Linked DNA regions of Caenorhabditis elegans. The protein of the gene in region 3 purifies or fractionates together with the protein of the main gene of each other region. This does not show direct contact. Each region holds a gene or a part of one and is shown on either strand. Other genes may lie near its edges. The genes, in order: rack-1, hsp-16.1, alg-1 and lin-41.

Evidence for each region.
Region 1: the proteins of alg-1 (region 3) and rack-1 purify together in Caenorhabditis elegans (affinity purification with western blotting; 2 studies listed by BioGRID, with this or other methods). This does not show direct contact.
Region 2: the proteins of alg-1 (region 3) and hsp-16.1 purify together in Caenorhabditis elegans (affinity purification with mass spectrometry, with the first as the bait; 2 studies listed by BioGRID). This does not show direct contact.
Region 4: the proteins of alg-1 (region 3) and lin-41 purify together in Caenorhabditis elegans (affinity purification with western blotting; 2 studies listed by BioGRID, with this or other methods). This does not show direct contact.

The regions. Positions count from the first base shown.
Region 1 is NC_003282.8:10,172,721-10,179,576, reverse strand, and holds rack-1 (Small ribosomal subunit protein RACK1), read right to left. Parts: upstream 2,898-6,856; 5' UTR 2,868-2,897; coding exon 2,753-2,867; intron 2,705-2,752; coding exon 2,521-2,704; intron 2,478-2,520; coding exon 2,330-2,477; intron 2,278-2,329; coding exon 1,747-2,277; 3' UTR 1,702-1,746; downstream 1-1,701. Other genes in the region: mspn-1 (Mitochondrial sorting homolog), read right to left, coding at 593-1,034, 1,089-1,263, 1,309-1,429, 1,473-1,607; pxf-1 (Rap guanine nucleotide exchange factor), read left to right, coding at 5,247-5,336, 5,417-5,544, 6,233-6,316.
Region 2 is NC_003283.11:9,084,774-9,090,984, forward strand, and holds hsp-16.1 (Heat shock protein Hsp-16.1/Hsp-16.11), read right to left. Parts: upstream 3,010-6,211; coding exon 2,884-3,009; intron 2,832-2,883; coding exon 2,520-2,831; downstream 1-2,519. Other genes in the region: hsp-16.48 (Heat shock protein Hsp-16.48/Hsp-16.49), read left to right, coding at 3,358-3,495, 3,551-3,844; hsp-16.49 (Heat shock protein Hsp-16.48/Hsp-16.49), read right to left, coding at 4,507-4,800, 4,856-4,993; hsp-16.11 (Heat shock protein Hsp-16.1/Hsp-16.11), read left to right, coding at 5,342-5,467, 5,520-5,831.
Region 3 is NC_003284.9:13,946,277-13,957,191, reverse strand, and holds alg-1 (Protein argonaute-1), read right to left. Parts: upstream 7,704-10,915; coding exon 7,670-7,703; intron 5,931-7,669; coding exon 5,692-5,930; intron 5,590-5,691; coding exon 5,417-5,589; intron 5,271-5,416; coding exon 5,100-5,270; intron 5,047-5,099; coding exon 3,584-5,046; intron 3,529-3,583; coding exon 2,576-3,528; intron 2,524-2,575; coding exon 2,485-2,523; downstream 1-2,484.
Region 4 is NC_003279.8:9,336,031-9,344,333, forward strand, and holds the start of lin-41 (Protein lin-41), read right to left. Parts: upstream 6,467-8,303; 5' UTR 6,288-6,466; intron 5,884-6,287; 5' UTR 5,868-5,883; coding exon 5,732-5,867; intron 5,685-5,731; coding exon 5,423-5,684; intron 5,380-5,422; coding exon 5,330-5,379; intron 5,287-5,329; coding exon 5,146-5,286; intron 5,099-5,145; coding exon 4,827-5,098; intron 4,440-4,826; coding exon 4,168-4,439; intron 4,114-4,167; coding exon 3,990-4,113; intron 2,923-3,989; coding exon 2,826-2,922; intron 2,787-2,825; coding exon 2,473-2,786; intron 2,258-2,472; coding exon 2,178-2,257; intron 2,129-2,177; coding exon 1,757-2,128; intron 1,397-1,756; coding exon 1,184-1,396; intron 1,139-1,183; coding exon 461-1,138; intron 414-460; coding exon 143-413; intron 97-142; coding exon 1-96. UniProt on the Caenorhabditis elegans protein: Heterochronic protein which acts downstream of let-7 in temporal patterning. Plays a role in the developmental timing of postembryonic hypodermal seam cell division and fusion events and adult alae production.

The DNA.
Region 1 (6,856 bases), on a different chromosome or scaffold from region 3:
TAGAACAACTTGTATTAAATATATACAATTCTCTTCACTAATGTTTTTATTTGTATTTTTTTTTCCTTTAAGGTTACTGTAGACAATTATATTACATTTTATCATATTACAAATTACATTTTTCCTTTAAAATCCAATGCATTTTTCACATTAGAAACATGAATTAATTGTGAAACAGCAATTTATTCTCATGAAGCTCGCAAAACTTTGCGATTTCTGCCCCAAATATTCTCGACACGAAATTTTATGTTAACTATGAAAAGGTGTGTACCTTTAAAGAGTACTGTAATTTCAAACTCTCGTTGTTGCAAAAGTTTAATCGAGTTTTCGTAGTTTTCAATAAAAACACATATACTTATTTGCTGTTTCACTATTAATTCATGTTAAAAATGTATTGGATTTTATAGGAAATCCAAGATATATTATTGTCTACAATTTTTCATGTTGAACAGATTTATATTAAATATTTCGTTACCGAATTCCACTAGAATATATGTGACATATATAGCCACAAAGCGAACTAATAATATTACGACCATTTCGGGGATGTAATATATTTGATTAAAATTTTAAAAAGAAAAAAAGCACGAACCTCTTTCAAATCACTTCCACTAAGACCTTCTGCTGCCTGTGCGATTTCTCCGAGATTTACAGTATTATTGATCTTTTCATTCCTGAGAATCACATTAAGAATCTGACTTCTTTGCTTGGCATTTGGTACTGGAACTTGGAATCTTGCAGTCATTCTGCGTAGAATAGCAGCATCAACGTCTCGTGGACGATTTGTAGCTCCCATAACAATGATTTGATCTCCAGAACTAGAAAATCCATCCCATAATGTCATGAATTGTGCCTTCATCATTGCTGTTGATTCGTGATCATGAGATTGTCTGTCTCGGAGGAACGAATCAATTTCATCAATGAAAATAATTGTTGGTTGAAACTTTTGAGCAACAGAGAAAACAGCGGCCGCAAGTTTTTGAGACTCTCCGTACCATTTATCAGTTAGGTTTGACACTTGAAGATTGATAAATCTGAAAGGTAGCAATATTTAAAACAGGTCAATTCTGCATTTATGAATAACTAACCGGCATCCAGCTGCCCTTGCAACTGCTTTCGCTAAAAGAGTTTTTCCACATCCGGGTGGTCCATAAAGAAGAATTCCACGTGGAGGAGACAATAAATGACTTCCACTTTGCGATGCGAATCTCAAGGGTAAAATAATGCGATCCTTTAGTTCAGCAACAAGTTCTTCGCAGCCACCTGTAAAATTTTTCTTTTTTTTTGCGAAACAATTTTCTGTTCTACCGATCTCATCCCAATCTGCTCCAACGTCTTCTCCGCCAACAAACTGCGTGGCGATTCTAATTTCGTGCTCTGAGAGTTCTATTTGACGATCGATACCAAGTTCATGAAACAGCTGTGCCACCTGTATATTAAAAAAACAAAATTAGTGTTGTAAATCTACAAACCTTCTTTTTGCTTTCTTCATTCACACTATAATTTGGATCCAAGTACTTGACTAGATAGCGCACTGATAGAAATGAAACTGCAGCCGCCGCCACTACTCGAATTGCAACACCGATCAACTCATTACGATCCGTCATCTCTAACATAACAAGTATACCTTGCTGTTTTATCATCTGCTAGATATTCTTGATTAACGCGAATAATTTATCTGACATGGTTGAATACAAAATTATATCAACAATTTTATTGAAGGGTTTTGAATTAACAGGTAACAAATTAGTTGGAAGCACGGATCGACACCTGGTACACTCGGATGATGTTATCGGTGTATCCGGCGAAGAGGGTTTGTCCGTCTTGAGACCAGGCCAAAGAGATACACTGTGGGCTGGATCCTCTTGAGCTTCCAGAGCTGGCGATTTCTGGCTTGAGCTCCTCGATCTCCTTCTTGTCCTCGAGATCCCAGATCTTGATGGAAGATCCGACAGCGGCGCAGAGCCAGTATCTGTTTGGAGAGAAGGACATGGCGTTGATGACGTCGTTTCCTGGAAGGGTGTACAAGTGCTTGCCCTCGTTGAGGTCCCAAAGCATAGCTTGTCCGTCTTTGCCTCCGGAAGCACAGAGGGAACCATCTGGAGAGACGGTAACGGTGTTGACGTATCCGGTGTGACCGATGTGGTTGGTCTTCAGACGGCAGTTTCCGAGGTTCCAGACCTTGACAACCTTGTCCCATCCTGCGGAGACGATCACTGGATCGCGGTTCGATGGAGAGAAACGAACGGTGGAAACCCAATCGGTGTGGCAATCATCCTAAACAATAGTTTCGATAAATCTTCCTATAAAAGAATTTGAAAAAACGTACAGTGATGGTGTACTTGCACTGGGCAAGAGTGTTCCACAGCTTGATGGACTTGTCGCGGGATCCAGAGACGATTTGTCTGTTGTCAGCAGAGAAGGCAACAGAGAGAACATCCTTGGTGTGGGAGATGAATTGACGGGTGCTCACTCCCCTATAAAATTGTTTGCACAATGTTTTTTTATTGAATTACTTACTGGTTGAGGTCCCAGAGGCGGAGGGTCTTGTCCCAGGATCCAGAAAGAGCGAATTGTCCGTCGGAGGAGATGACAACGTCAGAGACGAAGTGGTTATGTCCAGTGAGCGAACGAACTGGGCGACCGATTGGTCCCTCATCGACTGGAGCAACGCTGTCGACATCCCAAACAAGGATAGTCTTGTCTGAAAAATGTGAGTATAAATTTGAAAACGTTATATTAATTGACTTACCGCGGGAAGATGACAGGACAGTGGTCTTGTCGTTGCGGGTGTAGGTGGCGATTTGGGTAACCCATCCGGTGTGACCCTCGAGGGTTCCGGTAAGCTTCATTTGCTCTTGGACCATTTTGCTATCTGTGTAACCCCGTTCGATCTGCTAAAAATAAAAATGTTCCATATAAAAAAATGAAAATTTTGGAGAATAGAGCGAACGAAAACCATAATTTTGTTCGAATTATGTTAAAAACATAGCCACTTTAATTATTAAATGTTGAAAATGTTGAAAAAATCATTGCTTTAACAGAAAAATACAGAAAAAAGGAAAAATCGTCCTAAAAATTCGCGTCAAACTAGCCAGCCAGCAGCAGAGGAGAAGGGGTGAGTCGCTGCGAGACCCCACAGCGAAAGTCTATGCGCCTTTAACCTGGCACTTTGCCAACTAACGAATTTACGGAACAAATTAACTTTTTCTTGTAAATTTGCATCTATGAAGCAGTTTTTGACACTTTTTTAAATTTACTTATTTATTTATTCAATTATTTATGTTTAGCTTTTATTGTGACAGTTGTTTTCGAGTTTAGCGAGCCATTTATTTGAGCCTTAAAATTAATATTTCTGAAAACTGGTTTGATTTCTTCGAAAAATTATTATTTTCTCATTTAAAAGCAAAAATACTTTAGTTTTTACATTAAAATCAATGTAATGTGGGTTTAGTTCTAATTATTCTCCATCCATTCAAATTCATCGTGTCGAGCTCGAATTTTAAAGTTTAACATTTCAGCATCCGGGGTTGCATGTGTGCAAGACATATTAAGATTACTGCATGAGATATTGCCAGAAAAATCTGACGAGACTAGTTCTTTGCGCATATCTATTGCTTTTTCGTGGAATTCCTGTCAGCTTAGTCATGCTTTTATGGGTTTCAAATTGACGAAGCGACAAAAATGTTGACTTCTTGTAGAAATTGGCCAATTGTCCGTGAAAACTTTGGTATGTGCTTGAAAATCTTCGAGTTGTTTCCTTATAATGTTTAATACCTTCTCATCTTAAATTTTACGTTGATATGCCAACATCACTATTTTAAAGTTTTTTTTTCATTCAAAAAAGTCATTTTTATTTTGAAGAATTTTTGAATACAATATATTTTCAATAATTCCCCATTTTTTAGCTGACTTTCAATACAACAACAGAACCTTGCAATAGCAATAACATCACAACAATTCCCATAATGAAAAATATTTTTTTGCTCCTAGACATTTTTTCGATATCTGTTTTTTTCCAATGGGAATGTCAACAATCAACTCTTTCCTGAGCCAATCTTCACTCGATTCTCTGTCTTCTCTGCAATCAGTGCAATCTTTAACCCAATCAACCTGCGTCTCAACTTTCCGTTCCTCTCTTATTTCTTCGCAGCACCTTCCGTTGTATTATTGATCGGTTCGCAGTGGTTTGGCGGTGCTTTTCCGCACCGTCCCTCGCCTTTTCCTCCTCCAATTTCTTGCCTCTACACAGACTGTCCGATTTATTTCTTGTCCTCTTCGCCTCTGTGTTGTTCCTAGTCACATTCCTCCAAATGCCCGTCCCTATGTGTGTGTGCGGCCGCCGCATTCACTATCCGCCCGTTTAATCGCCCCCCCCCCCCTCAGACTTTGATTCCCTTCTTCACAACTTTTGCATCCTTTTCTTTCCTGTGTCTAGTGCCCCTGATTGTTTATAATCAACCTCTGATAGTAATAGAGATTAGACGTTGTTATCGGCACACGACGACATCATTATCACTTTGTAATTCAATTGGTGGTAACTGACTGGATGGGACCCTTTTTTCAGTTGTAGATGATCAGAACAATCGAAACTTTCATAAAGACACTAATCGAGGCTAATTTTTGATTAAGAACGGGAGTGGCAGAAGTTATGCCTTCTAGCTGTACATTTTCACTACAAATGTCCTAGTTTTTCTTTTATATGTGACTCCCATTTTAACAATTAACAATTTTCAATTGGTATTGTCATGCGGTACTTCTAGATTGTTGCAAAAATTGTTAAATATCATCATTGTAAGGAGTAATCAGTTAGTTGATAGTGCCTTCGTGATTTTTTAGAAAAATTGTTGTATTCATGTACTTTTCGTCTCTTATATTCTCATATCTTCATTAATAATCTAAAAGTAATCTGCAAATCCTCTAACATCTCTTGGGGATGAATATATACATATTCTTCTACCTCTCTATTCACATAAATAAACACAAAAGAAGCATCCGAGCTCCTCCTTCTCCGCCCCATTCACCCCATTACATGCTGATTTATGAGATTATCTGAACGCTCGTCCTCTTTCGCTTACTCTCTCTTTGCCGTCTTAATCTGAATGGAAGACCACATGGCTTCTGTTCAACGAAAAAATTTACATTTTGTACTTTTTGCCTTACTATGGTTCCCGAAATTTTATTTTTTATATTTTTCCTTCGAAAAAACTAACAATCTAGATATTTTATATTTATAGGAGAATCAGATGGATCCTCGGAAACCTCGACAGGATCCAGTCAATGATGCTCGTTTTTACGAATCCCTCATTAAACCACCGCATTTAAGGACACCAGATGTAAGTTTTTTTCGGATTAAAATGTTTTCAAAACAAATCAATATTCCACTTTAAAATTATGTAATTAATTATTTTTTCAGGATATTCGAAATGTATACGAGCAATTGCGGCAGCTCGACACCTTCAGTAATTTGTTTATAGGTCCATTGAAAGCTCTCTGTAAAACTGCTCGATATGAAAGGCATCCAGCACAATATATTCTTTTTCGGTGAGTTTTTCTAAAATAAATTTTAAACTGATTCGGACTCTGTTCCCGGAAAACATAAATATCAAAGGGAAAAATTAAATACAATTCCCCTCAAAAAGATGTTTTTTTCATTGAAAAACTTAAAATTTTAAAATATGAAGAACATCTTATCTTTCTCATAGACTAAAATTCATATGAAATTTTTTTTTTCAAAATTTTCAAAACAAAAAAAGCGTTGTATTTGATATTTCGTAAATGTAATCAGAATTTTTTATTATTTTTAATTCGACAACATTTTTGATTCATACAGTTTGTAATGACTTAAAATATTTTTTTTCTAGATAATTCACGAAATTTTCAATAATCTACTAATAGAATTTAAAACACATTTTAAAGGTTTTTAAAAAAATAGCTTAAAATGTTGGTCTTTTTTAACTTTTAATATTTTTTAAAAATTTATATTGTTAATTTTTTGAACAATATTTTTCGATTTTCCGAAAATTAAAAAGTTTCGTTGATGGGTAATCAAAATGAGGAAACTAATAATTTTTGAAAGCGAAAAAAGTTTAATTTGAAAATCAGTACGGTTAATTCTTATTTTTACTTATAAATCTGAAAAAATAACATTTTCTGGAAAAACTAATAGAAATTGCCTGAAAATTTGATATTTCTCCACTCCCATAAAAAAATAATGAATTTGAAATTTCAGGGATGGAGATGTCGCACGAAGCTGGTACATTCTACTATCAGGATCAGTTTTTATTGAAAATCAAATCTACATGCCTTACGGGTGGTGAGTGATTTTTAAATATAAAGGGAAATAATTTCGCCAAAAAAATAATCAAAAATAAATTCAAAAAATGTAAAGGAAAGTACTGATAATCTCCATATTTAATTTTGCACGAAATGAATCAATTTCACTACTTTTAAATGAAAATTTGCAGTATTGATAAAATGAGTCATCATTAGTGTAGACACCAATCCGTACAATTCCCTATTCTTCGTTTTCTTATATGCTCATCTAATTTCCTTTTCCCATTCTCTCCGTGACAAGACGATTGAAATAATGACAATGATGCAGATACACACAAAAAAAAGAATTTCGTACTAGGTAATAAAAATGTGCTCAGACACGAGAACACCCGGTGTGTCCTCTTTGCGTGCTCATTTTCTATTCATTCGAAATAACCCATTTTATATGAAATGTTGAGAAAAATAGGAAGTGGGTTATTAGGGGGAAATGAGCTCTCTAGATGCTCACTCTTTTCGAATATTCTTTCATTTTATTCAATTTGTTCCTAGTTGTCCAGAAAATAGTAGAAACATCGAAACC
Region 2 (6,211 bases), on a different chromosome or scaffold from region 3:
TGAAATAACAAGTATGTGACATTTATCGCAAATTGTTTTATTTCAGGTGACTAGGGAAGTGAGAGATGCAAATTTTTCATTCTCAGTAGTTGTCGAGACGATTTCTCTGTTTTATTTTTTTTGACTAAATTTTCTACGGTGTTCGTACTCTCAAGAGTTTTTCTGTTTCATTGTAAAATACTGTTTTCCACTGATCAATTTTTATGTTTCTGACTAAAAATCAAGAGATCGGGAATTTCAGTATTAAATTCGAATTAACATGCGAATAGAGTGGATAATGAATTCTAATTATCTGTACCCAATGTGAAAACTTCAATTATTTTCTCTCCCTTTTTCAAGAAAGACAAAAAACGTAACGATTGAACATCACCAAGACACAATAATTCTGACCGACGTCTTGTCTGGTAAATAATCACAAGAAAAAAGGGATTCAATGAAAAAGATAACAGAATAATCGTTTTGAATGTGGTCTGAACAACAATAACACTTGTTTCGAAAAAAGTTGTTTTCAAGCAAAAAAATAAAACCGCGTTTTATAAAAAATTATACTTTTTTTTGTAAGGAAAATGGGGAAAAAAGAAATGCAATATTAAAAATTATTTTAAATAAAAAATAACTGCATATTCATAATCGAGTTTCAAGTACGGGACAAAAAATGATTTGGGCTCTATGTATTACAACTGACTGTAATTCTGCATTGAATTTTCTGAATGGTTTCTGTTTTAATAAATTAAATGTGGTATTAAAAACTATTTTCAACGAATGAGAAAAAGTTTCATCACTTTTAAAATGATATTTTGAATGGAATACACTTATTATTTTTTTTTTGTTGAAGATCAATAAAAGTTTCTGTAATTCATAATATTACATTATCTCTAACCTGTACAGTAGTCTCTAGGAAAATCATCATTTTCAATTCATCACATGATAAACGGATTGAAAAGTGCAGATCACATTAAATACAATTATTTTAATCTGCTGAACAATTTGAGTTCTCATAGCTGGCATTCCTTCCTTATTGCATTCTACATTAGCTTTCTCTTTTATTTTTGTGACGTAAGGCTTTCTGCCGTTTGGAAAAAGTGATCCAGTCTAAAGCACAAGACGTTCATTTCATTCTATCATATTCATCAGATAACATTCTTTTCAGTGCCTTGTTGTCATGCGTTCTTTTTTAGGTCGACTACACACCAAAAAACGAGTTTTTCTACCAGCTTTAATCCTTCCTTTATAGACGGTCATACATTGACTTATCTGTTATCTCACTTGTAGTCTGTGATTGTCTTAGAAGACCATCAAATTGTTTTAGGGAGTGATAGAGTATCACAAAGTGATGACTCATCACAACTAATAGTGTTGATACCACGAACTTTTTCGTCAAACGAATATTTATTCCATAGATGAACGGAAACCTACTCGTGACTCGTTACTCTTCACTGAACCTACAGTAATCCTATTAGAAACGAATCAACAACCAGGGAATATGTCTTTCGACAGATTGATCATTCAAAAAAAGAATAAAGATTAAAAACTTGGGAACTTATTCCATCATTCACTGCCCAGTGTCTGATTTTTGCTTGCAGAAAAAGGGAGAATAACACGAAAGTGTTGAAAAACCGGAATATTATCTCATATCATATCACTGGTTTTCTAAAGTCAAGCACTCAAGTCTTACCTGGTCAATGCCTAACTGACTACATTTACGATGGATTGTAAAAACATGGAATGGGTGTACGAGTGTCCAACGATCATTCGGATCACAGTTACAATGTTTATTGATCTCTGAGACATTCTTAAATCTGGAAAAGATATTTAAACGAAGCAAATAGGGATTTTTAAGAATACAAACATTTCTTACAATTGTCTGTACTGAAAATGATGGCCGCGGACCGTTTAACTTAGTTTGATTTTTTAAAGATTTCGTTAAAACTTTTGTAAATTGCCAAATTTTCAACAAAAAAAAACTTTTGAGAAATTAAAAGCTATCCATGTTCCAATTCCTGCAAAGTTTAAATAGAAATGGCCAAAACAAATTACACTATACAAATAAAACCACTAGCCATGCCAACTGACTCAGATATTTTTCGGGGCCGCGCGCACGCAGCCCCGATACGCAAAAATTAAGCTGTTGGCGAATCTCAACTCGAGACTGCCACACAGGTCAGCCCATCCAAAAGTGCAATGGATAGGCCTCACCATGGGGATCCCGCCTTCATGATCGCGAGATAACCCCCAGCCAGGTAAGTTTAAGAAGTGGCGGTAAGAGAGGGTAAGGGTGTTGTATAGCATGACATCTGGCGGGTTCCGCGGAGCAATGCAGAATGTGTTAGGATGGGAGGGGCTGTGCAATACCCAAAAATAGGCATTATGCAAGAAGTACATTGCCGGCATTTACATATTTATTACTAACTTTCAAAAAATATCACAAATTCATATTATTTTTAAATTTTATTGAAACAGAATACTGGAATTTATAGTAATTACATGCATAGTTCAAAAAAATCATAAAATTACAATAATTATTCAGAAGTTTTTTGTTCAACGGGCGCTTGCTGAATTGGAATAGATCTTCCTTGAATCGCTTCCTTCTTTGGTGCTTCAATTGAAAGTTTTCCATCTTCTGAAAGATTTGAAGCAACTGCACCAACATCAACATCTTCGGGTAGAAGAATAACACGAGAAAATGATTTCTTTGAATATCCATGTTCAGTCTTTAATTCTTGTTCTCCTTGAATTGATAATGTATGTCCATCCAAATTAATTTTCAAATCTTCTGGCTTGAACTGCGAGACATTGAGATTTATGGCAAACTTTTGATCATTGTTAACAATCTGAAAGAAATCTTTTTTATACAAACTCTTGAAAAAAAAACGTGTTACTTACCTCAGAAGATTCAGATGGAGAGCCTCTGCAAACTGGAGTAAATTGACGTTCCATCTGAGCCATATCTCTCATGAGATCACCAAAAACAGAACGTTGAGCTGGACGGAAATAGTGGTAAAGTGACATGATTGTAGTTTGAAGATTTCACAATTAGAGTGAATGTTGTTTGGTTCGGTTTTGTCACTGTATTTATACTCATTTCCACCTTTTTCTAGAACATTCGAGCTGCTTCTTGCAAAAGGAGGGCGACTCACATTCAGAACATTGAGAAATAGTGTGCGTACTGAAGAAACCCAGATACTTTTTCAATCTGCGTCTCTTTGCACCTATGGGGTGTATTTTGAAATGAATGCATCTAGGACCTTCTAGAACATTCTAAACGGCTGCAGGATACGGGTATATAAGCCAATCGTGTTCAGAGGAAACCAATACACTTTGTTCAAGTGCTTACTGTTCATTCTCTAAACTTCAAGAATGCTCATGCTCCGTTCTCCATTTTCTGATTCAAATGTTCTCGATCATTTCTTGGATGAAATCACTGGATCTGTTCAATTTCCATATTGGAGAAATGCTGATCACAACTCATTCAATTTTTCCGACAATATTGGAGAGGTAAGAAAATAATCTCTTTTTCAATTGTTTATTTGTCAAATGTTTTATTTTTCAGATTGTAAATGACGAATCTAAATTCTCTGTTCAACTCGATGTTTCTCATTTCAAACCAGAAGATCTTAAAATTGAATTGGATGGAAGAGAACTAAAAATTGAAGGAATTCAAGAAAAAAAATCAGAGCATGGATACTCGAAACGATCATTTTCAAAAATGATTCTTCTACCAGAAGATGTTGATTTAACTTCTGTCAAATCTGCAATTTCGAATGAAGGAAAACTTCAAATTGAGGCTCCAAAGAAGACTAACTCATCTCGTTCTATTCCCATTAATTTTGTTGCAAAACATTAATCTTTTATTGTATTCCAAATATTCTTAATTTCAATAAAGTCATTAATTTAATTTATTCATGTTCTCTAGCATAACAAAAACATCAAATCCGACTTTCCAATTCAAATATTTCAAAACAACATAATTGAAGTTATTCCAGAAACTTTTTATGCAAAAAATTTATTAGTCTCAATAAATGTTTTAGCTTGAATTTATGCTTAAAACAAAAAACATAAAAAATGTTTTAAAAAAATTACAGTGCGTGCAACTTCTACAGGGCCCTCATAAAATAGGTTCTTCAAGAGAAAAATCAGAAAATATTTTAAGCTACCAGCTACTCGGCTTCTCAGAAAACTCCTGCGACTTGATAAAAACACTTAAAAACTGTCAAAAGCTGTTATAAAGGTGCAGTTGATCAACACAGTTGTGAGCGAAATTAAGCTGAAAAACTGAATTTTGAAAAAGTTGCAAAAGTCGTTTGAAACGATGCAGGAATTTTTATAGCTAAACGTTTAACGGTTGGTAAAACGTAGCATGAGTATGCTGTAAAGTTGAGCCGTTATGTTGTTTTGAAATATTTGAATTGGAAAGTCGGATTTGATGTTTTTGTTATGCTAGAGAACATGAATAAATTAAATTAATGACTTTATTGAAATTAAGAATATTTGGAATACAATAAAAGATTAATGTTTTGCAACAAAATTAATGGGAATAGAACGAGATGAGTTAGTCTTCTTTGGAGCCTCAATTTGAAGTTTTCCTTCATTCGAAATTGCAGATTTGACAGAAGTTAAATCAACATCTTCTGGTAGAAGAATCATTTTTGAAAATGATCGTTTCGAGTATCCATGCTCTGATTTTTTTTCTTGAATTCCTTCAATTTTTAGTTCTCTTCCATCCAATTCAATTTTAAGATCTTCTGGTTTGAAATGAGAAACATCGAGTTGAACAGAGAATTTAGATTCGTCATTTACAATCTGAAAAATAAAACATTTGACAAATAAACAATTGAAAAAGAGATTATTTTCTTACCTCTCCAATATTGTCGGAAAAATTGAATGAGTTGTGATCAGCATTTCTCCAATATGGAAATTGAACAGATCCAGTGATTTCATCCAAGAAATGATCGAGAACATTTGAATCAGAAAATGGAGAACGGAGCATGAGCATTCTTGAAGTTTAGAGAATGAACAGTAAGCACTTGAACAAAGTGTATTGGTTTCCTCTGAACACGATTGGCTTATATACCCGTATCCTGCAGCCGTTTAGAATGTTCTAGAAGGTCCTAGATGCATTCATTTCAAAATACACCCCATAGGTGCAAAGAGACGCAGATTGAAAAAGTATCTGGGTTTCTTCAGTACGCACACTATTTCTCAATGTTCTGAATGTGAGTCGCCCTCCTTTTGCAAGAAGCAGCTCGAATGTTCTAGAAAAAGGTGGAAATGAGTATAAATACAGTGACAAAACCGAACCAAACAACATTCACTCTAATTGTGAAATCTTCAAACTACAATCATGTCACTTTACCACTATTTCCGTCCAGCTCAACGTTCTGTTTTTGGTGATCTCATGAGAGATATGGCTCAGATGGAACGTCAATTTACTCCAGTTTGCAGAGGCTCTCCATCTGAATCTTCTGAGGTAAGTAACACGTTTTTTTTTCAAGAGTTTGTATAAAAAAGATTTCTTTCAGATTGTTAACAATGATCAAAAGTTTGCCATAAATCTCAATGTCTCGCAGTTCAAGCCAGAAGATTTGAAAATTAATTTGGATGGACATACATTATCAATTCAAGGAGAACAAGAATTAAAGACTGAACATGGATATTCAAAGAAATCATTTTCTCGTGTTATTCTTCTACCCGAAGATGTTGATGTTGGTGCAGTTGCTTCAAATCTTTCAGAAGATGGAAAACTTTCAATTGAAGCACCAAAGAAGGAAGCGATTCAAGGAAGATCTATTCCAATTCAGCAAGCGCCCGTTGAACAAAAAACTTCTGAATAATTATTGTAATTTTATGATTTTTTTGAACTATGCATGTAATTACTATAAATTCCAGTATTCTGTTTCAATAAAATTTAAAAATAATATGAATTTGTGATATTTTTTGAAAGTTAGTAATAAATATGTAAATGCCGGCAATGTACTTCTTGCATAATGCCTATTTTTGGGTATTGCACAGCCCCTCCCATCCTAACACATTCTGCATTGCTCCGCGGAACCCGCCAGATGTCATGCTATACAACACCCTTACCCTCTCTTACCGCCACTTCTTAAACTTACCTGGCTGGGGGTTATCTCGCGATCATGAAGGCGGGATCCCCATGGTGAGGCCTATCCATTGCACTTTTGGATGGGCTGACCTGTGTGGCAGTCTCGAGTTG
Region 3 (10,915 bases):
TTATTTTCCCTACTATTTGCTCTCAAAAGTGTAATGGCTTTTCCTACAAAACTACAACCTAAAATACCATGCTTCTGTTTTTGCATGTAGTATTTGATTTTACACACGCAAACTCATAAATGGTTTTGTTAGGCAGGCAAAGTTGAAAACTGGTTTTTAATCGCAGCATACATATGCAACAGTTTTCCGATGGGAATAACAAAGGAAATTTTGCATATTCAGGATATGTTCCTGAATTTGACAATAACGTATCCTCAGTGTGCAAATATATTTTTGATAAGCCTAATCTGCAATAAAAGTCTTTGTTAAAGTTTTAGCTGTTATTTTATGAATTCGGGGAATTCGTCAGAAAGCTCAAAGTTCTCTATGTAATCTGCAAAAAAAAGGTAAATCAAAAAATGTAAAATATTTATTCTGTTTATCAAATCAAACACATTTTACCTGTTTTACCTTTAAGTTATGGAAATCTGTTCAGGATGAGTTGGGATCCACAAAATTATGACACAATTTTTGAATTTATAGCATATAGATTGCCAAAAATTATTGAGTTTTTTGTCCATTTGTCTCTGAAATAGAAAAAAAAATCTTAAAAGAAGGTTTCAGAGGTCACAGAATGTTTTGTGATTTTTCAAACTGCTATAATTCAGAGTTAAAGATGTAAGCATTTGTTTAATTTCCAATTTTCATATGTGTTTTGTACTCATTTGCAGAAAAATATTAAACATCGTCATTCCAATGAGCTATTCCTAGCAGCCAGATCATAGGGGTTGCCACTACATATGAAATCCTCGTTTCGGACTTCAGTTGTTTCATTTACAACATCCATATTGTCTGCCGGTCTGAGATTTTTTGAAGGATTCTGAACATCAGATATTCATATACCCAGGGTTCAAGCATTCTGAAAATTTTTTACAAAAAAAATATAACAAATTTTGGTCCCTCATCGCTTCATTTGCAAAGAAAAAAAACAAAATCACACATTGTACAAAATGCATGAGAATGCAAATTACAACACAAATGCGGAAAAAGGTTTTCTGTGGGTGGGGTGGGGGGAAGACTTTCAGACATCAGGATCAGGGGGAAGTGGGAAAGGGTTTTGAAAGAGAAAAGGGTTTGTTTGGAAATACAGTAAGACACAAAAGTTGAGGTTGAGAGCGAGTTTTTTTTAGTTAGGCAGCTGGATCAAAAATATAAGAGCTTAGGGGACGTCAGGTAGAGATGTTGAAAGTATGACAAATTGTGGAAATGAAGTGAAGAGGGGAGTTTTTTAATATTATTTTTTGGGTTGGAAAATTGTAAGTTAATTTACTGAAGATTAAATCCTAAAGTTAGAGTAATTAAATGTTACAATAATTTTGTAAATAATAAAAACCCTAAAAATTAGTATTTGCAAGAAAGAAAGTGAGAGAGTGAATGAAGAAAGAATCAATTGGAAAGATGCACTTGACAAGATATATTGGTGATTTTTTTGATGACAGGGTATTGAGAGTTCAAGAAAAAATGAAAGATTGTAGCACAATGCAAAAATATTCAACTGAAGGTGATAAATATTGCGTCAGAATTTTCAAATATGTGAGTGAAGTGAACAATCACGAAGTTAATGCCATAACAAATGCAGAACTCTGCACGAAAATAGAAGACACCCAGAGTAAATTTTACCGATCACGTCTTGATGGGTGGTCAAGTGTTCCAGGCGTCCATCAGTATATGTGTTTCAGCATTGAAAGCCATAAACTGCCACATACGTGTGGATTTGAAGTGCAAGAACATACAAGACTCACCAGGAGCGCAGAGTAAAATCTAGCCCAAATTTCGGCTATTTTGCGGAGAAAACATCAGCATTCTCGTAATGTTTTTAATGGTTGTTTGGGGAAGGAAGTCGAATAGGTCAACATCAAACGCAACTAGGACTACTGTAGGCGATGAGAAATTGGAAGGAATTTGACAGATCAAGCCCGTAAGTTGAAGAAAGAAGCATTTCAAGATGATTGCTCAGCGAGAAGATGTGAGTGTGAAGAGAGGAGTCGTAGTGCTCGGTGCTCTCGGAGGTTACAAGGTGGAAAGACGACAGCAGTGCATTTGGACAATGTAATCAACTGCGAGGAAAAATATTAAGGATATTAAATGGGTTTTGAAGCTTTGTAGGCTACCAGGATGAGAGGAAAAGTCACTAAGTAAAGGCATTTTGGTTGTGGGAAGTGAAAAATGGATGGAAGAAAGAAAACAGTTACACGAGAGGTAGCGGCAATTAGAATTACAAATTAAATATGGAATTTGAAAACATAAGAGTCCGATTATAGAAAAACATTATAACATTGTAGCATATTGAAATCAATTTGAATGGAGATACAGATACAGATAAAGACACAGAATTATCAAGATAGATATTAGGTAGACATGACAATATTCAATACTCGTCTTCTGTTAGAGCAAGTTGGTGAGTAATAGCTATCTATGAAGTCGATTCCTAGGCAGATTCCTAGTTTAAGCAAAGTACATGACGTTGTTGGCATCCGGATGAACCTAAAGTGTTTAATTTTTTTCAAATAGAAACTAAATTAAATGCCAATATTACCTGCACAGCTCTAGCCATGTTCGACAAGGTGGTATCCTCGGAAGTTCCAGATGGCTGAGAACCTTCTCCAGAGTCATGCTCGCGATCGACAAGATGATAACGAGCGCGGAACGCTACCAAATGAGCATAATATGCTGGCGCTGGAATTGAAACGGATCGTGTGCATCTGACGTAGGTATGGCACATTTGATATGTGAGCTGTTGAAGTTCGTCGGCTGTCAGATTGTTGTCATCCCAAAGAACATGGTAATGGGATGGACGAGATGTTCCTTGAATACCAGCATGAGAGCACAAGTAGAAGTCAAACTCGGTTGGGTGGGTAATTCCTACATCGACAGTAGTTCCTGGCGGAATATTGTATGCTTTTCCGACTTGATCCTTCTTATCAACAGCAAAGAGACGAGTGTGATGTCTCTTTTGGACGGCGATGAAAGTGATTCCTGGTTGATATCCTCTTTCAAGCATCATGCAAGCCTCGCGAATCGCGCGAAGCTCATATTGAAGAACGTTGAAGAATTGCCCCTCAGAAACTCCATCACGGTAGACAACGATTCTGGCTGGCTTGAAGCGAGTGTTGCGGTAGAATTGAACAAGAAGCTCGCGGACCATGTAGGTTAAATCTGAGATGATCTCTTGACGATGTTGTTGGACACGGACGGTTGCAGCATATCTGCTAGGATGAGCATCCATTGAGCCGACAACTGCTGCGATGGATGGTTTGCGAGAGTCTCCTGCTGGTGGATGAGTGATGTCACATCCAAAGAAAATGACTGGTTCGTTGAAGATTCTTGGGCGTACGTTTGGAAGCAGAATACTGTTGACTCCTCCAAGCTTTACGTTCATCTTCAAGCATAAATTAGAAAGAGTTTGTGGAGTTGTTCGGATTGCGTTCTTGGCTTGCACGCACTGGGTGGCGATACCCAAAACTGTGTCTCCAACACGTTTAACTTCAGCTGAAAAATTAGAAAATAAATAATCAGAAATAAACAAAAAAAACAAATTACATACCATAAACTGGAGTTTTTCCAGGGAGAACAACCACTACAAGTTGAATTCCAGAGTAGTTTTGTTTCAAGTACTTGAACATTGGCTCAACCTGCTCGACTCCAACAGCGTACTTGCAGAAGCATGGATTTCCGACGATTGGCATACCAGCGTCGTTGGAAATCCGCTGAAGCTGGTTGGTGAACATGCGGAGATCGTTCTCCTTGACATGCTGTTGTTGAGCAAAACAAGCGATCGCCCAGACACGAACATCGATTCCAGTGTGGAACTGTTTTCCACGCATATCCCAAACTCCTTGATTCGGGAGAGCGGTGGCTCGAGTGCGTCCACCGTAGAGAAGTTTTGGAGCAGAAAGAACGCGTCCCTTGACTTCAGTCATTGCTGGGTTGATGGTGATTCCGAATTCGTGAGCAAATGGATCAGCTGAGAACTCGGCCTTGCGGACCAAGTTGGAAATCTCACGCTCACGTTCTGGAGCAGAACGAGCTGTAGCCTTAATCATTGTCGATGTCTGCACATCCGTAAGCTTCTTGATGCAACGTTGTCCTGGAACAATGTTGCACACCTCTGGTGGCAGGTAGGTGTGCTTTTGTTCCTGTCCAACTTGGAGGCATGGCAAGTGTGGGTATTTGAGTTGAATTCTGTACTTGTCATAGAAATACTTGGCGACAGTGCACTCAATAGTTTGACCAGTCTCCAATTGAAGTGGGAAAGTTTGAGTTTGAGCTGGACGACGAGTGACGTTGCAGACACGATACTTTCTGCGCATTTGTCCACAGTGGGTGATTTCAATTTTGAGACCACGAATTTCCTTGGTGAACTTGACACGTTGAGCATCAGATAGAGCACGACGCTCAGCAAGAGCTTGAACTGGAAGCTCCAAAACTTCGGCGATGAACTCAATGACTGGCATGGAACGATAGAAAGCAGTCGCAGAGACATCAATGTTAAGCATCATTTTCCACTGAGATGGGCGAACCGACTGATGGAATCCAAACCAGACTTCACGGCCACCCCCGAGTTTGCTCTCGGCGTGATATTGTCCAGCGGAGTGGGCACCTCCTGCGACAGCTCCAGAAGCCTGGGGAGGGCATGATCCTGCCATGACTCCAGAAGCATTAGGAACTGGTGGCGAGAAGAATGAACGTCCGACAGGAGTGTATTTCAAGCTTGGAAGATGACGAAGAATGACATCCATAGCTTGAACGGCTTCGAATGGAACCTGGCGAACTCTTCCTTCCATGGCATCCTCCAGAGTGGAGAGAGAAACTTGTCCGACCCATTTCAAAGAAACCGAAAATTGACGCTCAACGGCGGAGTCTCCAGGAAGTGTGACATCGAAATCCATACGTTCTCTTCCAATTGGAAGGGGCTCGCGGGTGTACATATTGCGCTTTCCATCGTAAACAGGGCGAATATTAGTGAAGTACTTGGAGAATGCGCTTATCAAGCAGCTGATAATCTCGCTGAAAATTGATACAATTAATAAGTTAGTTCATTTTGGAATAATAATGATTACCGATTAACTCTTCTTGGGCACTTGTCTGGAGTAACATCGACCTGGTAGTGTTGAATAGTTCCTCCAGGAATTCTCACTGCAAAGTGGTTGGCGCGAAGAAGAATTGAGCGACCCTCAACTCCGTGGTTTGGGCGTCGAGGACATTGGAATTGAATACCACTCTGGTTGCCGCTGAAAACATTTACATTTAAAAATTCCACATTTTTTCGAAAATCCCTTTTTTGAAATCAAAAATTAATGATTGCCAGTTATTGCTTCTCACGGGGGTTTTTTTTTTGATTATACCGTATTAGTTCATAACATTTCAAATTTCTTACCCAGGTAATTGTCCCGGTGCTCCGCCTGGTAAACCGCCTCCAAGTGTATTTGCTGGTTCTCCAATTGAGACACTTGTATTACCAATGGGAACTCCTGGAGCCAGGCTTCCGGCTTGTCTTTGAGGAACATCGCTAAATGTTTGTGGCTGAGTAGGCGGAGAATTAAATATTTCCTGAAATACAATGTGTAAGTTCAAAGATTTAAAAATTATTACAAACTAATAACAAGATAATATCAGATGTGTACACTGCGTTTTTAAACGATGAAAACTTACTTCTAGATCATTTTGGAGCGCTGTTGACGCAGCCGCTTGTGCCGACGGGAAAGGCGGCTGCTGGGTGGCTCCAGATGTTGGAACAACTTGCGAGGAGGTGGACGTCGAACTAATCGGTCCACTTGGCAGAAACGACGATGTTGCGCTCTGTGGTTGCTGTTGAATGGTAGAATTCATGACTCCTGGCAAATATTGCGGCCCGCCGGACATTGGGTCGTTTGAGGCGACGTTAGACGACTCTGAAATGAATGTATTGTGAAATGATTGTTCAGGTTTTTTTATAGATCGTCATGCATTTTTGGAAAAAAATTCTACAAATGCAGACAAACCCAAAACTTAAAAAAGAGAAAATCGATATATAGATTGGAAACCGACAGGTTGTTCGTGTGAGGTACGGGGTGGAGGAAAAGAGAAAGAGAAAAGTAAAACAGTGTCGGGCAGCGACGTCAAAGGAGGACGCAACGGCGACTGGACGACGAGGACACGACGAATCGGAAATCGGACTGCTGCGCAAGCGGGCGCTGACAGAATGCATTCCGAAAGATCAAGAGACGCAGACATTCGGTGGCCAGTACTATACGCTATTGTACACTAACAAGAGACTATGCGAAATCAGGAGACGGCAGAGATAGTGTGTCGCGAGAGAGGCGAGTGGAACAAGCAAAATGAGAGAGAGTTGGAAACTACCAAATACAGGGGGAAGCAGGCTGCCGGGAGCGGGTTGGATCGACTCACAAAACAAAGAAAAAGATGGTCTGTGGAGAGAAAGGGAGAGAAACGCGCGGAGTGCTGAGAGCCGATGCGATTAAACATATCGATGTGGGTCAGTTGTCCGATCGGGTGGAATAGATTTGCGATTAGAAGGAAACGCAGAGAGATAGACAACGGACTTTTCGTATGGAAATAGTATGAGTTGAAAAGTGACATAAACTCTAAACAGAAGGGCTTCCAAACAAAAGTGAAATTTGAGAGGCAAAAAGAGAAGGTGTTGGTTGTAAAAATCACCACATCTGGTTGCATACTGTCGTGAATGTGAATGTGGATTTTTAGAATTTTTAGAATTGTTTTTGGCACAATTTTGAGAATTGCAAAAAAAACTAAATGCGCAAAATTGGTAGTAGTAGTTAATTCATCCATTCATTCTGAAAGGATTCCTACATAAATATTAGAAAAATATAACAATTATAGTAAAATTGGAGAAGCACCATAAGGTTGTTCAAAATCACTTATTTAATCACTAAATATTATAGAAAACAATTTCCAAAAAGTTGCTTATTTGTTGCCAGGAGGGTCAACAGAAAGTTTTCACTTCTCATAATTTGAAAGTCTATTGAAAATTATTTCATACAAGTTCTATGCCAAGTGAAATTTCTACAGACTAATCAGAACTTTGACAAAAAAGTTTTATTTATTATCTCAGAAATGTTGAAACTTGGATATTTTTCGATTTTCAATCTCAATTTTTAAAATTTTAAACTTGATTTTAAACACTATTTTCAGTATATTTATCAACGTTCTCACAGACAGTTTTTCGCATTTCAAAAACACTCATAATTATTTTCAAGACCTTTATCAAGTCTCTGTGGTGTCGAAAATCTTGAAGAAATATACATATTTTTCTCAATATCAAAAATTACACTTGGCATTTCTTTCTCAATTTTTAATGCAAATTAACATTATTTCCATTATTGAAGAACACATACAGGATTGTCCCAAAAGTGAACAAATGAATATTTTAAATTATACACATGTGTGAATACAAATATTTTCTAATGGCAAAGTCTCATGAAATGTTTGATGTTAAAGTCAGGGAATTATGTTGCCGGACACCTTTTCAGATTGAATATTAATCTCCCGGAAAGTGCAATTAGATTTGGTGGAAAAATGGAAGAGGAAAAATTGTTAGAAATAAATCTTATGATAACTTCTTTAGTACAGATGTTTATGTTAAGAATAAGTAATAATAAAATAAGCTTACCATTTGTGTTGGTGTTGTTCAGTTCGGCAGCCATGAGAGGGATTGAAAGCGCTGGGTTGGGTCAGTGAGATGGGAAGAGTAGCGGTAGAAGCTTCTGGTTCCTTTAGTTATTGTATCCTTTTAAAGCAATAATAAGGGTAAGGAAGAGGTAGAAGGAGGTAGAAGGACGTCGGTGTTGTCAGTCGGTTACAGATTCGTCTCTTCGAGTTGGCAGGGGTAGTGGAGAAGAAAGAGTTGAACAAATAGTAGTAGAAGAGGAGAAAGTTGATTTTGGCCCGATTGCTGATGATGATTTTCTCAGTGATTGCTATTGGTTAGATTCCTGAATGATGTTAAACTCGTCGTCAGCTACACCGTCTGAAGTGCATATGCCACGAGTGGAGTTGAGAGACTTTCTTGAGGTTTCTCTGAAAATTATTGATGTTTCGGGAAGAAAGAGGGGGAAGGTGAACGAGGGAATGGAGAAGGAAAAAGGAAAAAGCAAAATAGAACAGAAACTGAAAAACAAAATTCGGAATGAACACGATCAAAAAATGAATTCAATGCGAAGGAAGTGTTGCTGGGAAGTTAGCCGTAATTTTCAAATTTATCACCAATTTGTGAAAACACATCAGAAAAAATTGGTGTCTTACTCAAAATTAAAATAAAAACTTTAGAATATTGAAAACTTTGTATGGTATGTGAGCCCAATGTTTTGAATAACTACAAACTGTTTAAAAATGGTCATTTTTAAAATCTTCGAAGCATATTTAATAACAAATCAAACTATCAGCTATGTATTTGAAAAATTTTTCAACTTGTATGAATAGTTTAAGGAAGCTAATACATTTCTGTTTGAAAAATAGCATTTTCAAGATTAATTCAAAATAACGACTTCCGCAAATTCGAAAGATCTTTCAATAAAGAATAAAGTGCATCTGTGAACTTCCTGATCTAGACGAAACACTAAATCCTCTCAAGCACTAAAACTGAAAATGAGAAACGATAATGGTCGGGATAATCTCTTTCCATCAGCTAATCTATGAATACTGAAAAGTACAAGACGGTTCTAGGCCGCACACGCCATTGAAAGCCAACGAAAACCACGGCAGATGGTGGTTAGTAAAAGGGAAAGAAAGAGGAAGAGTGGCAGAAGGACCTATTGGAACTGGACGAGGCTGCCCTGGCATTAGACCAGCGAAAATGTGTAATGGTCCAAGAGACACAGAGAAGCGGGGGGAGAGAGATGCTTTGAGCAGTATAGTGCATTTTATGAGCGGCCTCCCGTCTGTCCCGTCAAGGGTTAAGGTTCATGTTTATGGGTAGTGCCGTGCCTGACACCGAACATGAACAGTTTTGGAATGGACTTAGAAACGATGACAATGAAAATTAAAAAGTTTAACAGACCCAACAATTTAAAAACCAAGTTTCGTTAAAAGATACCCAAGGGGGTGGTTTTTCTTCCGTAAATAATTTGATAATTTTTACAAAAGTGGAAAGTATATTTGCACTAATCAAAAAATTTTAAGCATGAATGAAAGTTTTATGAAATTTGGGTAATATTTTTTGATGAGGAAACAGTTATAAAAGTGCATATTATGTACAGTATGACACTTTTATTTTTCTTTAAACTTTTATTTAAAAAAACACATGGTTGAAATTATGAGCATTCTCATTTATCGTTTTGAATTTTTTCAGTGAAAAACTGTAATTTTCCAATTAGCAGTGATCATAGATTGCTGATTCGTAACACTAAATATAGGTCAGCCATTGATCGCTACCCATATTTGTTCCGTACACACCCACTCAATGCCATCGGCATATTTCTTTTTTTCTATTATTTTTGTGTTTTATATAAAAATCGCCTGACCTTTCCTTGATAAACGTTCGATTATCAGACAATATAACTGGTTGCAAAGCTAACTGTAACAAAGTGACCCTCAGGAAACACAGAGAAACTAAAATAAAAAGTGGTGTGACGGTTCTGTTGAGCATTTGTCGACCGGCTAAGTAAAAATAACAATTTAGACAAATATATAGTACCTAGAAATAATTAGCACGTCTAGTGAGCGACGCCGGACAGCACAAAATGCAAAGACTACGCGGTGACAAGCGGTGACGGAATGCATGTTAACTACGATAAGAAAAATATAAAATTAACGAGTGATAGGTGTAATATGATAGTGCTCTTAAGTTTGACATGTTACACAAAAGTATACAAAATGAAGTGTCAAGAAATAAAAAAGCTTATAAAAAAGTTTATGGAAACAAAAATGTAACTGTCTTGTTATTTTTTGAAATTGAAATCTAAGTTATAACGTATTATCAAAATATTAAAACTGTCACCTCAAATTTGAATCCAGCCAAACCCGCGAAAAATTCCCTCTCGATTTCGGATGCCGAAAATTGGCTCGAATCGAGAGATGAAAAATTCGGGAGATGCTGGAATCAAAAAGGTCTCCGCCTACTTTCTTTCAGATTTCCGCCGGTCACCGCAAAATTGAAAAGGGTGGGTAATACCTGGCGGCCGACAACCCACGGGTTCCGCGCATCGCTATAAATTAAGTAAATTAAGCCACGCCCTTCAAAAACACACCAACTGAATGGGTGTGGCTTAATTTACTTAATTTATAGCGAGGCACGGAACCCGTGGGTTGTCGGCCGCCAGGTATTACCCACTCTTTTCATTTTTGAAGTGTCCGGCGGAAAACTAAAAGGAAGTAGGCGGAGTCTTATTTGATTCCAGCATCTCCCAAATTTCTCATCTCTCGATTCGAGCAAATTTTCTGTATCCGAAATCGAGAGGGAATTTTTCGCGGGCTTGGCAGGATTCAAATTTGAGGTGACAGTTTTTTTTTAATATTTTGATAATAACAGGTGTATTAAAATATTAAATATAGGGAAAGAAAATAGGGAAACATCACACCATTAAAAAGTTCAGTGTAAGCTAAAACATTGTCAACTAATGCTGTTCGAGAAATAAAAAACACTATCGATTGAAAGAATCGAAAATGCCCATATCAATTCAAAGCATCAATTATCACACCGATAATTAACCAACCCTACATGCAGTGGACACTCGAAAAAACAGACTTCTTAGGCCCGTCTCAAGTGGTGTAAGTCGAATTTTTCTCTGCAAAAAAAACAAGGACACGTTTTCAGCATGTTTTAGAAAAAAACAGTAAGGAAAAATAAATTTTTGTGACTTGTTGCACTACACGGTCACATTACATACTCCACATGATAGGTTATTTTTAGAAAGAAAAG
Region 4 (8,303 bases), on a different chromosome or scaffold from region 3:
CAAATCAGTGGGACGATCCAGAAGCTGACGTGGTGAAGGAGTCAGTGGAGTTGGAGCCGATGAAAAGGCTGGAGCACCGAATGGACCACCGAGAGACTGAAAAGTACAAATACAAAAACATTTCTTGAAATCAAAAACTAACCGAATACGGAGCCGGTAGCTCTTGTGGCATTTGGAACCCAGAATTGGGGACGGGTCCAAGTCCAAATGAGCCAATGAATCTCATATCATCAGACGCAAAGACTTGAACTCGATTGTTCCGAGAGTCACATACAAGTATATGTCCCTCTGGATCAATCACAACTCCTTGTGGACGAACGAACATTCCATCACCATCTCCTTCACTTCCGTAAACCTTCATCTCTGACATGTTTCTGGGCGATAGGACTGCGAGTCGGTGATTGTTGAAGTCGCTGAAAGAATTAAGGTTTTTAAAGGAAATATTAATATTTTCTCATACGTAATGAGTAATTGTCCATCTGGCAGATAGCACAATCCACGTGGCGAGTCCAAGTTCTTGAAGAAGTAGGCGGAGTCAAATCCACATTTGCGAACGAATTGTCCCTGTGGTGTGAAGATCTGAACACGATGATTCCGAGTATCCGAGACGGCTATCGCATTATGAGAATTCGTGGCAACTCCCCATGGATAGTTGAAGTAGCCAACAGCACGTCCACGATCTCCAAACTTGAGAAGGAACATTCCGTTTTCATCGAATACCTGGACACGATGATTATCTTTATCAGCCACCACAATATTGTTCAGAGAATTGGTAGTTATTCCAGCAGGACGATCAAACTGTCCTGGACGATTTCCACTGGTTCCGAACTTTGAGATGAAATTTCCATCTTTGTCAAATATTTGAACACGATTGTTGCTTCGATCAGCGACAATAACACGTCCTCTCTGATCAACACATATTCCCCATGGACGACATAATTCTCCGTCACCGGATCCTTCTTTTCCGAATGTCAGAATTGGCCCTTTTGCTGCAATCTCATCATAGTTCCTGCCACGTCGAATATCCATTGTTGTCGGGCATCCACTGATTGGAGTTCCTTTGACAAGAATATTCAGTGTGTAGGATCCTTCGATAGATGGATAATACGAGAGTGCGACGATTCCATTCTCACGGGGTCTGAAATTTTATTGTGTTTTTTTGGAAATAGTAGTCAAATCATACGTCATTGTGACCTCTACAGTTGATCCATCTGGTGAAATGACAAAAGCCTGTACATCAGAAGTTGGCATAGCTTGTTCCAAATGGGAATGTGGTTCTTGATGAGGAAGAAGTGCTTGGGATGTTGGTTGAGTTGCAGCAATCGATGAAGACAACAGATCTCCACATGCATCGCGGAGTTGCACATAGATCACTGTTTGACGCTCACGAATCGCTCTGAAATTTTTTTTTTTAAATAAAAATAATTGTTTGTTATAAAAATGATTCACATGTTTGGTTTTCCGCAAACTTCACTCTGATTTTGAAAAAAAATACAAAAATTAATTTCGAATTGCGACAAAAAGTGGTTACTGTAACGCGACCAATTTTTCCATTTTTCTTTATTTATGATTCTAAAATTTAAATCGCGATTTTGCAAATTCTGATGCACTTTACCACATTAAAAAAGTCCTCCCTATAACTGTAAAAAAATTATCTAAATTTTCTATGATTAAAAAAAAATTTTAATAGCAATAATTTTATACAATTCTATGAAAATTTACAAAAAATTTCCATATATCTGAAATCTGAACTAACTTTTTAAAAGAGTCTCCGACAATTGAACTATTCTTGGCACATGGCCCACTCTCAATATTTCCGAATTGTCGAGCTTTGTTAAGAAGAATTCCATCCTGTGGAGCTGTGAATTTGAGTCGATCGTCTTCATTCACCTGACATGCCAACATCAATACATTCAAAATATTGTTGTTTGGCTCGGTGCCCTCATTTCCCATTTGGCACGATGCCAACTTTTCAAATACTTGACGAAGAACCATCTCATCACAATCAGAACTATCCATCAACTTTGTTGCAGTTTGAATTGCTTGTTGTAAATCAATTTGCTTTGATTGAAGACTTTCTGCTTGTGAAATGAGAACTGACAGTTTCAGATTCTTCACTGTCTCCACCCTGAAATTAATTGAAAAGCTTAGTGATTGCAGATTTGAAATTAATAAACCTCTTGAGTAGTTCCTTTCGTCGTTCCTCCAAAGCGTTGACGTGTGTATCGAAAGCGGCTCGAATCTCGTTTTCAGCGGTCTGAAAATTGTGGAGATTATATAGTCAGTTTTTCGATTTCTCACTAAAAAACATAAAATTTCATAAAATAGTTTGTTTTTGCTAATTTTTAAATTTTTTTTTCGATTTCAATTTTTTTCTCTGCAAAAATCGAATGAAAAAGTTTGATGACACCATAGATCCAAACTCTATTTTTAAATAACAAAACGCATCGGACTGAAAATTATGAAAATTACCGTTGCATTTGTAACAATTCCATCGATAATCTGCTTGATAGTATCACCAGTCTTCTCACATTGCCATTGCAATAATTGACTCTCATTAACAACTTCTCCAACAGCAACTCGAATATCTCCAAGTGGCTGAACTCGATGCTTTCCAGGATGTTGAGCAACACAGATTGCACACAATAGAACTGAATGAGGACAATTCTCACAGATTCCAATGATTACTGAATCATGAGTTCCACACACAGAAGAGCTTCGAGGTGATGATTCTCCACTGCCAATTGAATCATTTTCAACGCCAGACACATGTCCTGAAAAGAAAACTGAAACAGTTTGAATTACTGTAGAATATCTTCATATACCATCTCCACTTCCAACTGATCCAAGTGCTTGACGAACTGATCCTCCAACATTTTGAGTGTATTGCTGTGCTTGTTGTGGTTGAACTGCACGGCTCATCTGAAAATAATACTTTTAGATTTTAGAGGAATTACGTGTTCGCCGAGCAAAAAATAATACTATAGTGCAAAAAGAGCACCGGATGAGGAGCAGACACCTCTCTCTCTCTCGGCACTAAATTGGCCCTCCGACTGGCTTGTGAATAATGGCGAAAAAAGGTGGTTGAAGGAGAAGAAAAAGGGAAACGAACGCCTGGATGTTGAAAAATGGGAATTTCCTAGTACGTGGACATATTCGGATAGAAAAATCTATAAACTTGTAAGGAAAGTATTTCAGCTCTGAAACTGCTTTCAGTAAATTGTTTTCTTCGAAATGTGGATTTTTGCAAGCTTTTGGTGATGTTTATGGTGTTTGGAGGTAAGCAAACACTCTGGGAGCTTTTTGGAACTTGGTTTTGTTTGAAAAATGTGAAACTGCTGACACAAGTTTCATTTAAAAATCTAAAAGTGAGCTGAAATACTTTCCTTGATAGTTTTCAAAAAGTTATTTTCAAGAAGTTTTACTAATGTAGTGGAACGGTCGGCAGCCAATTTTTGTGTTCTAATCCTGCAATCAGTTACTGATAAGACATTTAAAAACGGAAAAATACACCAAAAAAGTACTGATTCTGTGTTTTTTCTTGATTGACAGGAGTCATTGATTTATGATTATTGCGTACTCTTTTTATGATTCCTGATTACAAACGATTCACGTCATCAAGCACGTGGAGAATCTTGAAACGGATCAAGGTGATATTAATATAGACCACATATATTATTTTTTGCTCCCAAACTACGGTATCATGTCTCAAAATGTCAATTTTTGTAAACTACAAAAAGGTGTGCGCCTTTAAAGAGTACTGTAGTTTCAAATTTTTGTAGCTGTGAATTTTCATCGATTTTTTATGGTTTTAATTTTTAATTTTAGGTTTTCGATAAATAAATATACAAATATTTAATGAAAAACAATGGAAAAGTTTAATTACAGTACGTTTTAAAGGCGCATACTTTTTATGAATTTCCAAAAAAATAATTGTCGTGTTGAGACGCAAAAAGCGTGTAGTAACACACGATAAGATAAAAACTAACCAAAGTAGCCATCAACTGCTGAAGCTCAACGAACGCATGTTGTTTGGTGGCTCGAACACGCTGATGAGCTTGAACACAATGAATACACAAAGCTTCCTGACATTGCATACAGTAGGCGAACGATCTGAAAAATTTAAATATAATTTAATTATCTTTGAAGTTTTAGGGGAAAACTAACATTTTCGATTCGCATCCTTGACATTGAATCGGACCCATTGGCTGTTGTTGTTGTGGCTGAGATCCAAGTGGTGAAGGAATTGGAAAAGTTTGCTGTGATTGTGAAGACATTGGTGTTGCCAATTGAAGACGTGGCGTCGAGCACATGGAATTACGTGGTGGAGCTATGGTTGCAGAATGTTTTGGAACATCTGGTGATGCCATCAATGATGGTGGCATATGCATTGAAGTATTCGTTGGAGAGAGTGGAGAGAATACAGGAGTATCATCGTTCTGTAAAGAATACGAGGAATTAGGTGCAATTTCAGCTCGCAGGAGGGCGCATTTAGCAAAAAAAATTAGAAAAAAGACTTATTGAACTTATTGAAGCCAGGGAGAAAAATATGTTTCTTGGGAAGAGAGAAATGCTAACTTTTTTTTGCGAAAAAAATGATTTTTGAAATATTATGGGGCCGTAGAAAAATGCTCATTTTTTAATCGAGGTCCACCCCCAGAAGTTGGGTCTCGTTAGGTATTGACGGCGAAACCGTAAATTGAACCATTTTTCGATTTGCGACCACATAATATATAACATCATAAATTCGGGAAATTGAATTTGTTTATAGCTCCACACTCCACAAAATTGTACTTTTCTCTGTTTGAAATTTGATAAAAACTGACCACTGCCAACGAATCAAACACATTTTGCATCAACATCGGCGATTGTTGCTGGTGTCCTCCGATGCTCGACAGATTATTGATAGAAAGCTGTGATGGTTGTTGCAATGGAGACCATGATGTCAAACTGCTGTCCGAGTCGGGGAATCCAATTGGACGCATCATGAGCCCACCAGCAGACGATGGCATCCGTGCACCCATCACTGGAGACGGTGATCCAGGCATTCCACTGAGTGAGAATGAGAATGCACGAGGTTGATGAAGTGGAGTTGATGCTGGAATTTGGGTTATTCTTCGGTGTAAATTGAGAATTAAAACATACAATTAATGTGATTATTCATCGTTGGTGTCGAACAATCCGACATCAGAGCTCCACGTGGCGGTGATGGAAGCGTCGGAGACAGGTACATCTGCGATGTAAAGTTGGCGGTGGCTGTCGATACGGCACCACACAGCTTGCAAGCTAAAATTCATAAATCATACAGAAAGTTGAGATATTTATTTACCCCGTCGATCGTACGAGGACGGTGTCATCTGGTAGCATGATTGGCACGTTCTAAAAATAATTGTCATTTTGATAATTTGTCTTGAAACCCCACTTGTGCGCACAAACGAACGGCAGCACTCCAATCGTCGAGCTCTTGGAGCAGACTGAGCACCGAAAGGAGTCTTGCGGGAGTCCGAGTCCGAATCCAGTGTTGAACTGGAACTGTGGTTGCTGCTGTGGTGACTGAATCATTGACGGTGGAGTGTCAAATAGTGAGCCAGTGAACTGTGGTGGTGGTGGTCCCGAGCCAAGATGATTATCCTGATGATGATGGTTTGGTGAATGCTCACCGCGATGGTGGGACATTGAGTCACCTGAAGTTGTTTCGTTGGAAGCTTTTTTTTCAATTTTCAAGTGTTACCTTCACTGCTGCTTCCGCCCATCGACAGCTCGTTTCCGCTGTCGTTGGCGTCCACGTCGATCTCAGTTTGAAGCCGACGAGGTCCTGATGGTGCTCCTTCTTCTTTCTCCAATGAGCATGGCACGATGGTCGCCATTTCACTTTTTCCAAGTCTGAAAAGGTTGATTAATTATCAGTGGAAAGGGCAAACGATGACTCTACAATTAGAATACTTATGAATTTTTTGACTTTTCAGAACGAATGGAACAATTAATCGAACAAAAAAGTCAGTGAAGCACAAAAAAAGTGCACTTTTTATATGAAAATAATGGAACAAAATGAGAGAAAAATGGCCCGAGGGCTGCTGATGACAAGGATTTTTGATGGGAAAATCAGAAAAATGCCGCTCTTTCAATTTAATATTCGAAAATAAAAACAAAAAACAAAAAATTAAGTAGTCAAAAAATTTGTGGTAGGTCAAAATTTTTCGAATAAAAAAATTTTATTAATTTTTTTTCGACGTTTTTAATTTTTAATATATTTTCGCATTTTGCTTTGTTATTTAAAAGTTCCTCACCTTTATTCAAGATCACGATCGTTTCCAACGTCGCATTCCCGCCGTTTCCGGCTCTTTTTGTACTTTAAGTTGGTTTTTATCCTAAAAAACCAACTTTTCCCTCCTCCAGCGACGTCGAGCCTTTTCCTTGAGTAACGAGGCGATCGGCTCTTCCTTTTTACCCGTTCGCCAACCGTGGCCTGAAATAAAACGAGACTTAAATATATTAATTGAATGTTTTTCAAAAATTATCGAAAAATGATGCGACAATAAAATAATAAAACAAATGGGGTTACGGTAGCTTATCGATTTTTCCTTGAAAATACGGGGCGAAATGAATTTGAATGTATCTGAAGATATTTTTAAAGAGTTTTTTGTAATAAATTTGTTAAAATTTTATTTGATAGAAGAATTCACTGAAAACACTTATTTTTAGATGAAAACTCGTAATTTTATGTGTTGGGTCTCGTCACGAACACAAAATTTTTCCAACCGACTATGCGCCTTTAAGGATTACGGTACGGTTCTCTATCTCAAAAATTGTTTTACCAAACATTTTTTGCGACATAATTTGTTTTTTCGATAAATTTTCAAAAAAAATTAAACAAAAAAATCTGAAACATTTTTCCTTCCAAAAAATTCAATACGGAAGTAAGTTTTTGAGCAGCTCCTTAAAAAGTGATGGAAATGGCAAACATTTTAGGCTTTGTGAAAGCTTTACAGGGATTTAATCGAAGCAATAGAAACCGGGAAGCGAAAATTGAAGAATGCGAAAAACACTAACTAAATAAACATCTCGCGTTGGATTAATCAAAGTAAAATAAACAAAAACGCCCCTTTTTTCGAAATTGTAGGAGTTTTCTGGACAATTCTCTAGGTTTTCCAGGCCAAAAACTTAAAGTTGGAATTTGTCTTAGGATCACATTTTACACCGAGTGATTTTTACTATGTGGCCGCGACATACAAAAACACGGCCACCTTCCTAAAAGGAGCTATGGTCATTTTCTCGAAAATCTGCTCGTTGAAATAACTTGGTCGGCAAGCTTCACAAAGTTCTGAAGTGAAAAATTAAAGATGAATCACTGGCCGAATTTTTGGACTTTCTAGGCCACGTAGCAAAAACCAATATATTGTACGAATTATGTTCTGGATGAACCATATAAAAGATACATGTCTAACTATTCATTGCTAATTTTTATTAAATATTACATGTCCGGATATCTGGAAGCAAAGTTTCATGAATTTCGTTTCAATTACTGATTTTTATTTCTAAGACTTATTGAACTTGTGACCTTTTGACCTAAAGTCTCAAAATATCATAAAGGGGCGTGACATATCTTTTTCATATCAAGACAGATTCTAACAGATATACATTGGAAGTAACTTCAATTCATTTTTTGAAAAAAAAATCGCAAAAACCTATGGGACATTGAACACGGTGGGAACGATAAAAGTGTGTGTATGTCTGTGTGTGTGTGTAGAAGTCTTTTTCCCCTCTTTCCTCTCCATTTCTCTAAATTTCCACCCCTAGGCTGCCCCGCTGTCTCCCCCAGGCGCCCCAAATGTCTGTAGTCTCTTCGTCGTTCCCACTCTCTACACACCTGGGGGTGAGCGCCGCGCCGAAGGACTGCTGGGGGTAGGCTGCACGAGAGTGGACAGATGGTTAGAGAAAGAGTGAAAACTCTTTTTTTTTTGCGGAAAAAAGGGGAAGAAGGGGAAGACGAAGAGACCAAAGTGTTTCTCTTTCACTGGGCTCAGTGCTTTTGATCTCTGCGTGTCTCTAGTTTGTTCTCTCTTTCTCATTCTTTTTTCCATTCAGTGTTCCCCTCTCACCCCCAGTGATCTTCTCCGCCGCGCCGTCGTCGCAAAAACAGAATTTCGTGCCAAAAGTGCAAGGCCTCATGTTTGAAAGAGTAGTGTACTTTTTCACTTTTTTCGCAAAAAAAGGAGAAGAAACGTCGCGAAGCGTGCGTTTCTTTTTTTAATACCTCAGACCGAAACTAACCAAACAGGAATTGTGAATGAAATAAGAAATAC